Linked DNA regions of Callithrix jacchus. The protein of the gene in region 3 interacts with the protein of the main gene of each other region in a biochemical or structural test. Links are inferred from orthologs where the notes say so. Each region holds a gene or a part of one and is shown on either strand. Other genes may lie near its edges.

The links.
Region 1: the proteins of YWHAQ (region 3) and MARK2 form a complex in vitro, tested with the Homo sapiens proteins (2 studies listed by BioGRID, with this or other methods). The link is inferred for Callithrix jacchus from reciprocal best matches to the Homo sapiens genes YWHAQ and MARK2.
Region 2: the proteins of YWHAQ (region 3) and CDC25B form a complex in vitro, tested with the Homo sapiens proteins (2 studies listed by BioGRID). The link is inferred for Callithrix jacchus from reciprocal best matches to the Homo sapiens genes YWHAQ and CDC25B.

Annotation. Positions count from the first base shown.
Region 1 is NC_133511.1:120,886,265-120,890,363, forward strand, and holds the start of MARK2 (serine/threonine-protein kinase MARK2), read left to right. Parts: upstream 1-1,296; 5' UTR 1,297-1,693; coding exon 1,694-1,747; intron 1,748-4,099. UniProt on the Homo sapiens protein: Serine/threonine-protein kinase. Involved in cell polarity and microtubule dynamics regulation. Phosphorylates CRTC2/TORC2, DCX, HDAC7, KIF13B, MAP2, MAP4 and RAB11FIP2. Phosphorylates the microtubule-associated protein MAPT/TAU.
Region 2 is NC_133506.1:11,323,016-11,327,285, reverse strand, and holds the start of CDC25B (M-phase inducer phosphatase 2), read right to left. Parts: upstream 2,804-4,270; 5' UTR 2,007-2,803; coding exon 1,807-2,006; intron 919-1,806; coding exon 773-918; intron 207-772; coding exon 155-206; intron 1-154. UniProt on the Homo sapiens protein: Tyrosine protein phosphatase which functions as a dosage-dependent inducer of mitotic progression. Directly dephosphorylates CDK1 and stimulates its kinase activity.
Region 3 is NC_133515.1:105,348,048-105,352,066, reverse strand, and holds the start of YWHAQ (14-3-3 protein theta), read right to left. Parts: upstream 2,805-4,019; 5' UTR 2,727-2,804; intron 2,316-2,726; 5' UTR 2,234-2,315; coding exon 1,940-2,233; intron 1-1,939. UniProt on the Homo sapiens protein: Adapter protein implicated in the regulation of a large spectrum of both general and specialized signaling pathways. Binds to a large number of partners, usually by recognition of a phosphoserine or phosphothreonine motif.

The DNA.
Region 1 (4,099 bases), on a different chromosome or scaffold from region 3:
TGACTTCCATGGGGCCTCTGCCTCCCGCCCACCTTAAGCCATGGATGGGAGGGTGTGGTTCCAACGTGTTTCAGCTACTGTGGGTGAGGACAGCTTGGTGCTGGGGAAATCAGCCCAGGATACTGCCTGTCCTTGGTAACAGTGTAAGGGGAAGTGAGGAGTTGACTGCAGTTGCCAAATAGATTTCCTGTTAGTCAAGGGCTCTCCAAAGCCGAGAGGGACCTCAGAGTTCATGAATCCAATGGCTTCACTTTACTGATGGGGAAAATGAGGCCCAGAGAAAGAAAGAAAAGAAACTTTAAATACCTTATCTTGCAGAGGCATTTTAAAAGGTAATTGGAATACAGAAACGTCATTTCGAGTGTCAATGTAGGAGCAAAGGCATAGGAAAGAGGAGCCTAAACTCAGTGATGTTATGTGATCACGCGGCATTTTCACTTGGCAGAGCTGGGGCTGAACTGCAGGGCCCCGGATGCTCCCGCATCCAGTGCAGAGGACGCTGCCCTGGGCCTGCCTGGGGCCTTGCCGAGCCCTGCGGACTAGATGCGGGGATCCATAGAAGCCAAGATAGACGATGGCAAGTGGTGGATAGGAAGCAGACAGGCAATAGACTGATTCTGCATAAGACAGGTATGTTGATAGGCTAGATGATAAAAGGGAGGTGGATTTTATGAGACGACCGACAGACGGACAGAAATGCAGACAGGAAGTTGCTATAGAACCAGAGGATGCTAATCGCAGGGACGGCTAACAACCTTGTTTTGTATTTAGTCAAATCACAAGCACTGACAGGTGACCGACGCTTCCCGTTCAAGATTTGAAAATACCCGAAAACTGACGGAAAGACACGAAGCGAATCAGACTCCGAGAGCCACCCGGGGAAACAACCGGGGGCTCGGAGGGCCTCGGGTGTTGCCGGAAATGGCCGACGACCGCCCTCAGCAGCGCGGCGGGAGGGGGCGTGGCCGGCTCAGCACGCGGAGCAGCTTCGGGTGTTTCCGGAAATTGCCGAAAGCCCTCTTGAAGTGGGCGGGGGAAGACCGGTGGGCGTGGCTGGATGGTTGTGTAAGGGGGCGGAGGGGTAGATACCCGGGGTCGCTTCGTGAATTTCCGTAAACAGAGCCGAAACTTCGTCTTCGGAATCGAGGAGGTGCGCGCGTCCCCGGAGTTTACCTTCTTCGGCTGTTTCCGGAATTCACCCGTAGTCTGTGGCCGGGAGGAGAAGGCGCTCCCCACCTCCCTTTTCTAGCCGCTTCGGATGTTTCCGGCTGCTGCCGGCGGAAAGAGCCGAGGGCCGGCGGTGGTGGCGGCCATGTTGGGAGCAGCAGGTCCGGCGGCGGCTGCCTGTGTGCCGGGCGCGGAGCAGTGCCGCTGAGGGCAGGGGAGGAGCGAGGCAGGCGGCCGGCTGCGGCGGCAGAGAGTAGGCGGAGCGGCGCGGCCCGGCCGAAGGGCGGCACAGCCCAGCCGGGGGTCGGGGGGGTGCGGTCCGGAGCCGCTCGGAGCCGGCGCGGCCTAGCCCGAGCGGCGCATCCCCGGGCTGGCGTGAGCGGCTGCCCGGCCTCCCCGCACCCCCGGCCGGGGCCCATGCGGCGGGTGCTCCTGCTGTGAGAAGCCCCGCCCGGCCGGGCTCCGCGCCTTCCCTTCCCTCCCTTCCTCCAAGCTTCTCGGTTCCCTCCCCCGAGATACCGGCGCCATGTCCAGCGCCCGGACCCCCCTACCCACGCTGAACGAGAGGGACACGGAGCAGGTAAGGAGCCCTGAGGGCTCCCCGAATTCTTTGGCTGGGCCCCTTGCACCTTGCGGAGCCTCCTCCCTCTGCTCTCCTTGTGCCCCTGCTGCCATCCTGCAAGCCTCGGCTGCCCTGTCATCCGGCTCCCGGCTCCGGCCCCGCACATACCGCTTCCGAGTCCTGACCTGGGACCCACCTTGTCCTGACTACAAGCTGTACACTTGTCTTTCTGCCAACCCCCCCGCTCCCCTCACCACCCTCCTGCGCTCTTCCGTGTCACCTCCCCAGCTTCCCTTTCTCTTCCCTTTTTCTCTCAGGGGCCTTTCTGGTCTTCCTCCACCCACGCTTAAAGCAGCCACCCTCCCGCCCCTCGAATAGCAGCACCCGGCGATTTGCCACAGATCTTTGTCCACCTCTCCCTTCGTCTCTCCTGCCTCGCTTCCCCTCCGCCCGCACCGGTTCTGCTAGTCTCTGGTTATCACCCTCAGGGTCCTTGCCCCTGACTGTGCTCTCGATCTTGGCCCCTTGCAATTCCCTCACATTTTCTACCCTGCTTCGTCGTTTTCCAAATTGTGCTCTCCCTCTTGCTTGCAACCCACCAGCTCCACCCTCATCACCTTTCCAAATCCTTCGCCTACTCTTTGCTCATCACTTTCCCTTCTTTTCTCCAGGAGCTCCCTGAATCCTGGCGCTGGCATTTGTCGCTTCCGTGTTTCCCACAGCTGTCATGCGCATAGTTTTCCCACAGGTTGCCTTTGGGGTAACAATCATCACTCCCTTCAGAGTCTTTGGATCCCTCTTGTTCTCTTCCCCACGGGTTTGGCTTTTAAGTCTCTGGGCCTCCTGTTTGTCTCTGTGAGTGTTCTGCCAGCCTTCTCCTGGGCTCTTCCTCCCAACCGAAGGACGCTTGGCCCCACCGCGTTAACACAACCTGTTGCTCAGTCTTTTCCCGGACCTCGCTGCATCACAGTTTTTGCCTTTCTGTCTTTGTGCACTGGAACACAAACCATGATGCCTTTCCGTGTCTTCACTCCCGTGCCTGGCCCTTCTCAGAGTATCTTCCTTGCTTGTTGCCTTCCTGTTTCTCTGCCCTCACCCACCTTCCTTACTGTGCCTTTTAATCAGGGTTGCCCTTCGTCTCCACGTTAGTTTCCTGCCTTCTTCATGTCGTATGTGTCCCCACCATGCTTGGATCCATTCTGTTCCTTTCGGCTAGTCTCTAATTCCCAGGAAGTCCAGGTGTTTTCCGTGCTAGTTTCTTGAGCTACACCTCAGCCTCACGACTTTACACGGTCCCCCCTCATCTTGGCAATCAGTGCTATGGTTTGTCACCCAAGTCTTAGTCTTTCTGGGTCATCTCACTTTGGAGCAGAGAGGCATCCACTTTCCATCCCTCCCCTTCACCGACTCCAGCGTCCTTTGCTGACTGCGCTGTGGAGAGTCCCCTGCCTGTCACACCTTTATTGGTGGAGAACTTTCCTAGGCCGAACAACTTGACTTGAAAAAGGAGCGCTTCTGCCCCAGGGCTGCTGTGCTTTTTGCCTTCTTTCCCCTCATTCTGTCCTTTATGTTTCCCTTTTACTCCCTCCTTTCTTTGTAGCCCAGTAGAGCAGTTGTACTCTTGCATGTGAAGATTCTTCTCTGAAAAATCTTACCTCCTTTCATTTACTGTGTTTTTCTGTTTTGTCACCCCCTGGCTGTCTGCCATCTGGGCAGTTAGGAACTCTGAGTTCCTAACTCAGAGAAGTTCTAGACAAGAGTTTTTCTCTGCAGGGTTGACCCTTCTATTACTTGTGGATTATTTGCTTCTGAGGGTGAAATAGTGGTTGAGAGGGAGGGATGGTTGATTTCCATTTCATCACTGGGTTTGGCAGCTGGTTCTGCATGGGACAGAGGTCTTTGGAGACAGAGGAGCGTGTTCTCTGCCTCACAGTCTTTCTCTCCCTTGCTTGCCAACTGTGTCTTTCTCCTTACTGGGAATCGCTTTCTCTAGGTCCTCTTGAGGTTGCTTATTCCATCCTTTTTCCTCTCACAACCTTTGTTTGAGCAGGTAAACCCTGCTTAACTAGAGAACTTTCCCAGACTGTTGATTGTGAGCTGGTAGGAGGAGGCCAAGTGACTGACTGGCACCCTCAGGCATTTGGGGAGTGGTGATGGAGTGCCTGCTCTTTCAGTGAGGCTGGTTGGGGGGCATCGTGTTCAGCAGAGCAGAGTAGCAGACTGCCTCAATGTGGTTTCTTTGTGCGGGTTACTAAAGGTAAATGTATTATTGCCATGGTGTTTTTCTTGTGATGTGTGTGTTGATTTCCTCTCCTCTTTACATGCCTAGCATACTGCTGAGCATACAGTAGGGAATCCACCGTAGTGCAC
Region 2 (4,270 bases), on a different chromosome or scaffold from region 3:
AGAAGGTCAGCGAGTCCCCCCGCCCACGGAGATCCTGAAGGCACCCCATGGTCTGTCTGCTTTCCCAGGCCTCCCTGGTGAGTTCCTGCTAGAACTGGGATTCTCAAAGGCAGGTGCTGACTGCTTGGTGGTAGTCATTCCCTTCAATACTCACGTCTGCTCCGCCATCTGGGGGTCCATAGGGCTGGGGGAGTCCATGCAGAGACCTGAGGGGATGGAGCACCTTGGTTTGAGGGTTGTGGCACTTTCTGTATACTTTCCCCCACTATGTCTCAATAAGAAGAAAAAACCCGTGTCTAGTTTGGACTTTGACACATTAGAAAATGAAACAAAAACCCAACCATGGACCCTGAGGGCTGACACATTATTCCCCAAATAGTACAGGGTTCCACTCCCGGTTTACTATGAGACAGCAGCTTTTCAAAGAAGAGGTTATAGAATAAGAAGGTTCTAAAGACCAACTCTCAGTCCTGAGTGCTTCCCAGGTAGGGCTGTGGTTAACTTTGGTGCCTGGTTTTTTCCATAGGTGAGATCTCATCTCCCATGGAGGGCCCCACCCTCCCACCCACTCAGCCAGTCTGCGTTGGGTGTGGTGAGCCCCACCAGAGGCACGCCTTCCTCCCATCTCTGTGGAGGGTCGGGGAGCGGCTCCTGGGCCCACCAGGTTGTAGGGAGGATGTTAGTTTGATCGGCAGGGAAATCGGGAGGCCCAGGCAGCCCCCGAAAACTCTCCTGGCACTGGCAGACCTCCCCAGCCCCCACTGGGCCTCACCTGCATCAGAAGATTCAGAGGATTCAGACGACAGGGAGGATTCAGACGACAGGGAGGATTCAGATGCCCGTCTTGACAGGGGTAGGCATGTCAGCCGGCCGCGGCTACGGAAGAGTAGGCTCCCTACCTGACTCTCTGGGGTTTCGCTGGGAAGGGAACAGGGACCCAGGAAAGGAGAAAGGTAAATGTGGGGCTCAAGGCTTTGCTGGCCTGAGTTCCCACTCACTCGCTGAGAAAAGAACTGAGCGAAACACTACACCGGGAAAGTGATGGCCCCAAGGGCCGGCCCTCTTCTCAGGTCAAGGCAGGCTCATTCTACAGAGGCCCCAAAGCAGCTTCTCTTTGTTGACTGGTTTAGGACATGTCCTCCTAAACCAGGTGAGCCCAGGGTGTGAGTAAGGCAGCCTGGCTGGAGGCGATCTTAGGGGTTGGTGGTCTAGCAGAGCTGCCCCGGAGGGCCTTCCCCTAAACTGTCAGACCCCCACCTTTCCAGGACCCTTCCTGAAGGATGGAACAAGACCAGGTTCTCCTACTGGGACAACCCAGCTCTCCCCTTGCAGACTTAGGAAGCGCGATCAGTGTATACGTAATTGCCTTAACTCTGAGCACAGAACTAGGGTGGAGGGAGCAGGGGCATGGATGTGTGAGTGCTCCATGGCTCTGCCACACTCAAGTTCCCCCCTCCAGGCTTGGGATTCCCATCCTGAGGCAAAACAGGTGGCTATTTGGGTAGAGATTAGGGAGGCAGCGTGGTGGAGGCACAGTGAGGTAGGAGGGAGTGAGGGGAAAGAAGACTCGGGCAGGCTTGTGCGGACCAAGAGCAGGTCACCTGGAGGGTGTGGGAGGCACAGCCCAGGTCTCACCTCCCATGTCCTGGGCCCCATAAAGGGACAAGAGCGTACCTCTCCACTGCCCAGGACGCCTCCCCCGGACTCCACCTCCTGGATTAGGATACCATGCTCAGTTCTCCAGGAGGCCCAGGACTCCAGTCCGGGCCTCTCACTCCCATATCCAGCCTCCTTGGGGTGTCCTACCTGCCGAGCCCGGCGAGGTCGTGCATGGTCTGGGTGAGGGTGGTGACCGGCGAGGAAACGGCCGCGCGCACTGGGGACCCTAGGAGCCCCTGAGGTCCCAGCAGGAGGCCCGGGAGGTGGCCAGGACGCTGGGCGCCACCGCGCACGCCGGCTGGACTGAGAGCCGAGCCTGGCGCGGGCTCGGGCTGGGGCACCTCCATCGCCCCGGGGCCGGCAGAAGGCTGGTTGGAGGGCCAAGCGCAGGGCCTCCAACAGACGCCGGGACAGCTGGCTGGGCCGAGGGAAGCAGCGGGCGCGGGGTGGCGGGGGGGAAGGAAGGGAGAGAGGGAGAGAGGGAGGGAGGGAGGAAGGGAGGGAGAGCCACAGGACCGGGCGCGAGGGAGAAGAGGGATGCGGGGAGGGTGGGGTGTGAGGGACGCAGGGCTCAGGCACCAGCCTGGAAAGCCTCTAGTTGCAGCTGCCACTTCCACCTCCTTATATATTCGAAAAATAACAGCGGCCGCGCCGCTGGACGCCACCAATGGGGTAGCGGGTTAGAGGAGGGCGGGATCGAGGGCGGGGCCCGCGGGGCTGGAGGCGCGGAGGCTGGATTTCCAGGCTTTGGGTGGGCCAGAGGAATTAGGGTTTATCCCACACCCCCGCACATCACCCTGGGGCGAGGATCCTGGCCTCCTGAAATCCGCCTCTCGCGACATGGTTTGGAATTCCACATTCCAAAGTCGGCAGCAGCGCCCTAGGGTGGCCTCCGCAGGACCCCCTGCAGCTTATCGTCACCTGGGATCACAGCTAGGGACCGGGAGTTTGCTAAACCGGCTCCCGGAAATTTGCTAAACCCAGCTGCGCTGTGCTGTCTGCGTTAGGTATCCCATTTTACAGACCTGGACGTTGAGGTGTGAAGTTCATTAACTCCTTCAAGGTCTCGCGGTTGGCAGGCCGTGGGACAGGATTCGCCCAATGCCTGGGCCTCCGACCCGGCAGCCTCCCCGCCCCCGCGCCTGGCTGCGCTGAGCAGCAACAAAAAGTCATTCGCAGGCAGAGCGCCTAGCGTAGGAGGTGGGAGGGGAGTGGGGCCCCCAAGCGGAACCGACGGGAGCTTTCGGGGTACTCCAGGTTAGATGTTACCCCAACAGATTCAATTTTCGCGGCAGCCCCAGTAGTCCCACTAAACGGTGGGACTAGACATGGCTTTCCGAGGCTGGGGGTCGAGGAGGGTGTCAGCGGCCAGAGAAGCGAGTTAAGTATCACGTCCCTTGATGGTTTGGCTAACTTGGTGCCAATGGCACCATATTATTTAATTGGTGTTTATTTGATGACCAGACCAGAGAGGCTGAATTTATCATTCGTTTAAGCCGAGCATCTTCCAATTATCTAAATGCCTTCCAGCCCCGCCCGTTTTCCAGGCCTCCTGGAACGGGGGGGTCTGAAGGCTGCACCCGAAAACCAGTGGCTAGTAAGCAGCTTTCGCATTTCATTTCGTCTCCCGGGGTTAGAGGTGGCCTCTGGCTGGGTGGGCGGAGGTGCGGGGGGATGGAAAGGCTGAAGTTCAGGAAGGCAGGAGCGCCCCTTCTCGTGCAGTCCCAGCCTCCCGGACCCAAGGCAAATTGGATGGGGGTGGCAAAAGGGAAGGCCTGTAAGATGGGGGGCTGGGTGGGCCAATTCATGTGAAGGGGAAGGGAAGATCCTAGCCCCACCTGAGAAGGGTGGCCAAGGTGGGAACCCTGACCTTTCCTTTTCTCCACATTTTGCTCAGCTCCTGTGCTGTGTTCCAGGTCTCAACTTCTGGTTCATCCTCCCTAGGTCAGGGGTCATGCCCCGGACCTCCAGCCACCACTCCCAGTGAGGACGTGACTACCCTCAGTGCTAGGATGGAAGGGGGAAGTACCCTTGTGAGGCCACCCACCCCCAAAACAAGAAATAAAACCACTCCGAAGTTTGCATTTTCAAGATCAGGTATGCCCCTCATCCCCACCCAGCCAATATACATCTGCACAGGGTGTGTGTGTCAGGGCAGGCATTGTATGTTGAATCCCTTGAAATCCCACAGTCAGGTCACCTCTGGGCCAGGGGGAGGTGGCAAGACCACAGAGGGGTTCTGGGATTTTTATGTTTTGTTGTCGTTGCCTTTTTTTTTTTTTTTTTGAGAAAGAGTCTCTCTCTGTTGCCCAGGCTGGAGTGCAGCTGCAGGATCGAGGCTCACTGTAACCTCCATCTTCCAGGTTCAAGTGATTCGCCTGCCTCAGCCTCCTGAGTAGCTGGGATTACAGGCAGCTGCCACTATGCCCGGCTAATTTTTGTATTTTTAATAGAGACGGGGTTTCATCATGTTGGCGAGGCTGGTCTCGAACTCCTGACCTCAGGTGATCCACCCACCTCAGCCTCACAAAGTGTTGGGATTACAGGCGTGAGCCACCGAGCCTGGCCCACATACATAATTTAAAACATTTGAGTAGCCACATTTAAAACA
Region 3 (4,019 bases):
ACACAGAAAGCTCTCAATACAGTTGCCAACTTGAAGAAGTGCTTTCCCAAGATAGGCTGGCCACCAAGCCACGATTAGCCTCTTAAGCCATTTTATGAATATTTAATTTATGCCTTGGTGTCTCAGATTCATCAAGGTAAAGTATTCTATCTCTTCTTAGTATATAAAAGAGACGGTCCTAAATTCAGGGGTTCTCTCCTATTGAAATGATCTGTATGAGAGTTCTAATAATACCTGGTCTCTCTCTCAAGCTACACATCAACTAAACAAAACTCTCCCCCAACTTATGCCATCATAAAAAGTAAAATTTGTAAGAGCCACAAAATAAAACAAATATTCCTTTGACTCAGAGTCACCTTGATGGAGAAAAAGAAAAATTATGTGGCGATTCTGAATTGCCTCAAGGTTACTAACTGCAAAGTAATAGTCTTTTCAGAAAGAGACTGAAATATATGCTGTGAGAGCACCCAAAATACATATACAGAAAACCCTGTTAACATGGAATTCTTGAGTCTTTCCTTGGTAACAGATAATGCTGTTAACAGCCATTACCATATGTTATTGAAGGTGAAGTCTACCATTACTTTCAAGCGGGCAAATTTTTTTTAATACAAGCAATTCAGTCCAAAGAACTTTTACAAGGGCTTCTGCAACGTCAAACAGGGACTGGAAGCTAAGAACACACGATGAATAAAACAAAGTTTTGACTTCATAAAGTAAATAACCTCAAGCTTTCTCCACTTCAGTGCGCACTCTGTCTGCATTACTTTCTTTGCCCCTTTACCAGCTATTTCCATCCACCATGGTTTTGTTCGGAGCGCCTGTCGTCGTATTAGAAAAATAGGTTAAAATAGTTCTGTGGATTTTTTTTTTAAACAAGGAGTTGGGGAGGGAGCCAGAGCGAAATTATTTTTTCTATTCCCTTTTGAAAAAAAAAAAAAAAATCACCAGTCTAGCATGCCAAAGCCCACCTAAAATACGATGTGCACAAACACATAAAAAGTCAGTAGGCCTCATGTAAAAGTGGCACTTAAAGAGAGGCAAATCATGTCAGATTATTTCCTATTTTATTCAAAGAAATGACTGCAGCACTGAAACGTTTAAAAAACACTCCTGCATATAATACTGGTATTTCAATTTTAAAAACTTATCTAACTGATCAAAAGATTCGTGCAATGACAAAGCTAAAAATGTTCTCTCTCACTAATAAGGGTGAATCACACCAGCCACCTACTCCACCCAACAATCACCCTTGCTAAGGCTGGACAGTTCAAAACCTGGAAAGCTTGCTCCAAACCAGAAACGAATTCGCTTCAACACTAGTGCACAGCTACGCGACAGCAAAGAAATGTTACTAAACGTTGAAATTTACCAGGACATTGTGTTCTTCAGATAGAGCTGTGCCCTTTTAACATTTACCCAACTCCCCCATCTCTCCTGTTTATAAGGGGTGGGGGGCGCAACAGACATTCTTACTAGAAAAATGAAGTAACTGCTCAGATTTTCGAAGTAAATTTCAATTACCGGGTTTGGGGAAAATCCCTACCACACTGTCTAACAAAAAGGTGCCTGCGCCTTCTTTCAACTGCCTGAAGCGGGTGAACCGACTCAATACATTTAAACGGCTCAGAGATCTCGGGACACAGTCTCCCGGCACAAAAAACTTACAACCGCCTTTCAGCCTCGCAGAGACCTACTTGGATGTTTCCAAATTCCATCGTTTGGTAGCTACCCAGCATCTGGGAAAAGAGATGGACTTGTCCTTGGAAAAGCGGTTTCGGGAGTCTCCAGAACCAGGGAAGCCAGGGCTCGCCTGAAACCCTCCACCTCGGCAGACAGTCCGGCAAGGTCCGGCTCACGTTTCCTTGCTTGCCCGCGAAACTCTCGATGAAAAGCACCCCACAAAAGGCCTCCCCCGCTCCCCGCGCCGAGGACTCACCAGGACCGTGGTGCAGATGGATCTGAGCTCGGACTCCACTTTCTCCCGATAGTCCTTAATCAGCTGCAACTTCTTGTCGGAGGTGTCGGTCTTCTGCTCGATGCTCGAGATGACCCTCCAGGCGGACCTGCGGCCCCCGACCACGTTCTTGTAGGCCACGGAGAGCAGGTTGCGCTCCTCGTTGGACAGCTCGGCGCCCTGCTCGGTCACTGCCTTCATGCAGGTGGCCATGTCGTCGTAGCGCTCGGCCTGCTCGGCCAGCTTGGCCTTCTGGATCAGCTCCGTCTTCTCCATGGCGGGCGCAGGGCCGGGGCCGGGGCGAAGGGTGAGGAGAGCGAGGGCGAGCGCCGACCCGGAGCGGGAGGAGACTCAAGAGCTGCGGAGGGGCGGGGCGGCGAGGCGAGAACAAAAAGCAGGGAGGGAGCGCCGTCAGACAATGCGACCCGCTGCCCGCTTTTGTCTCCTGCACACGCGGCCGCTTGAATTTCCCTCTCCCCAGTCCCAGCCCCCGCCCCCGTCAGGCGCCCGGAGAGGCCGCGGCCCGCGGCAGGAGGAGGCGGGGGCGGCACGGAGGCCCCGCGCGCGGGAAGCCCGAGCCGCGGCCGCTCCCGCCACCCCCGCCCGGCCGGCCCAAGATGGAAGCGACCGTTGGCCCCGCACCTTCCCGCCCAGAGCTGTCCCTGAGGGGAGCGGCGTCGACAGCCCGCCGCTCCCAAGGGCGGCGCCTCAGCCGGGCCCTCAAGCCCAGAGCGGCCGGAGGAGGCCCGCGGCCAACCCAGATGCTCACCTTCACGTCTCCGCGGCCGCGACGCGAGTCCCACCACTTTGATCTGCCTTTGGCTTTAGCCGAGGACCCTCCCGTCTCAGCCTACCCCGGAGCCGAGGGGCGGTCCGCCGCCCAATTACGCGCCGAGCTTGCCCCGAGAGTCCCGCCCCCCGACGCGCCACGGGCCAGTGAGGACCGAGCGCGCGGAAGGGGGCGAGGGGGCGGGGCGGGAGGGAACGCGGAGGCTAGGAGGGTGGGTCGGCGCGGGGAAGTTCGGTTGGCCGGCAGGCTGCGGCTCCGGCCACGGGGTTTCCTCCAATTAGATCCAGGGTAAAAGGACGTCACTGTTGCCATGGTGATGCCGTTACCAACTCCCCTCAGCCTCCCCGCCACCCCGGCACTTCTGGGTGCGGCACGAGACCCAGAGGCGCGCACGACCTCCGAGGCGGCGGCCGCGTCTCCCGCTGCGGATGGTGCATTGCATCTCGCGGGCTCCGGCCGAGGCTGGACTTGGGAGGGTGACATAATCGGCTGTTTGGAGCACAGGGGCCTTTCTTTCCTCCACCTTTCCCTCCGTGACAAAGGTTTGGATCCCAAGACACTAAACCCAGACGTTAACGACGTTGCCACTAGGGTTCCGAATTCAGCAAACCACATCCCCATTAAAGAAGAATTGATTCATGGAGACATTGGCTTCAGTATGGCATTTACATGATACATTCAAGTTTTCAGATGGGCACCTAAAACAAAAAAATTCCCTTATGAAAAGGTATGTCCCAGAAGATCCAGGCGAGTCTCTGCGGTTTTCTTTAAAATGGGGAATGCCAGTAAGCACAATTTGCAGGGAAACACCTATAACTACCCCTCCCCCCCAAAAAAAGCCTGCCCATAACATCTCCCTCCCCAAAAATCAATTTTTATGTTTCTTTCAGGCTTTCCAGGTTATGCGTCTAAATACATAATTTTTCACATCATTGTCGCCTGTGCACACGCTTTTCGTTTCTGGTATTATTTGTGAGAGGACACTTGAAAATCTGAAATCCTCTCCCTGGGTATTGATTTCTGATTTTCTTCTCCTGGGGAACACCCTGCTGAAGTGGGGAAGATTTCCCCAGGCTCCTCCCATTCAGGGTCATCCCTGGCATCTCACTTTCCTTTTAAAGCACTCCTGTCTCTCCTGGCACTTCCCCAGTGCCCTCACTCCATCCAGGTAGGGTGACTGTCCTGCCCTTCTGGTGAGTGGCCTTTGTGCCATCTTAGGATGAGAATTGCCATCTGGGTTCACACTGCTCTGATCCCTATTCCAGCAGGTCT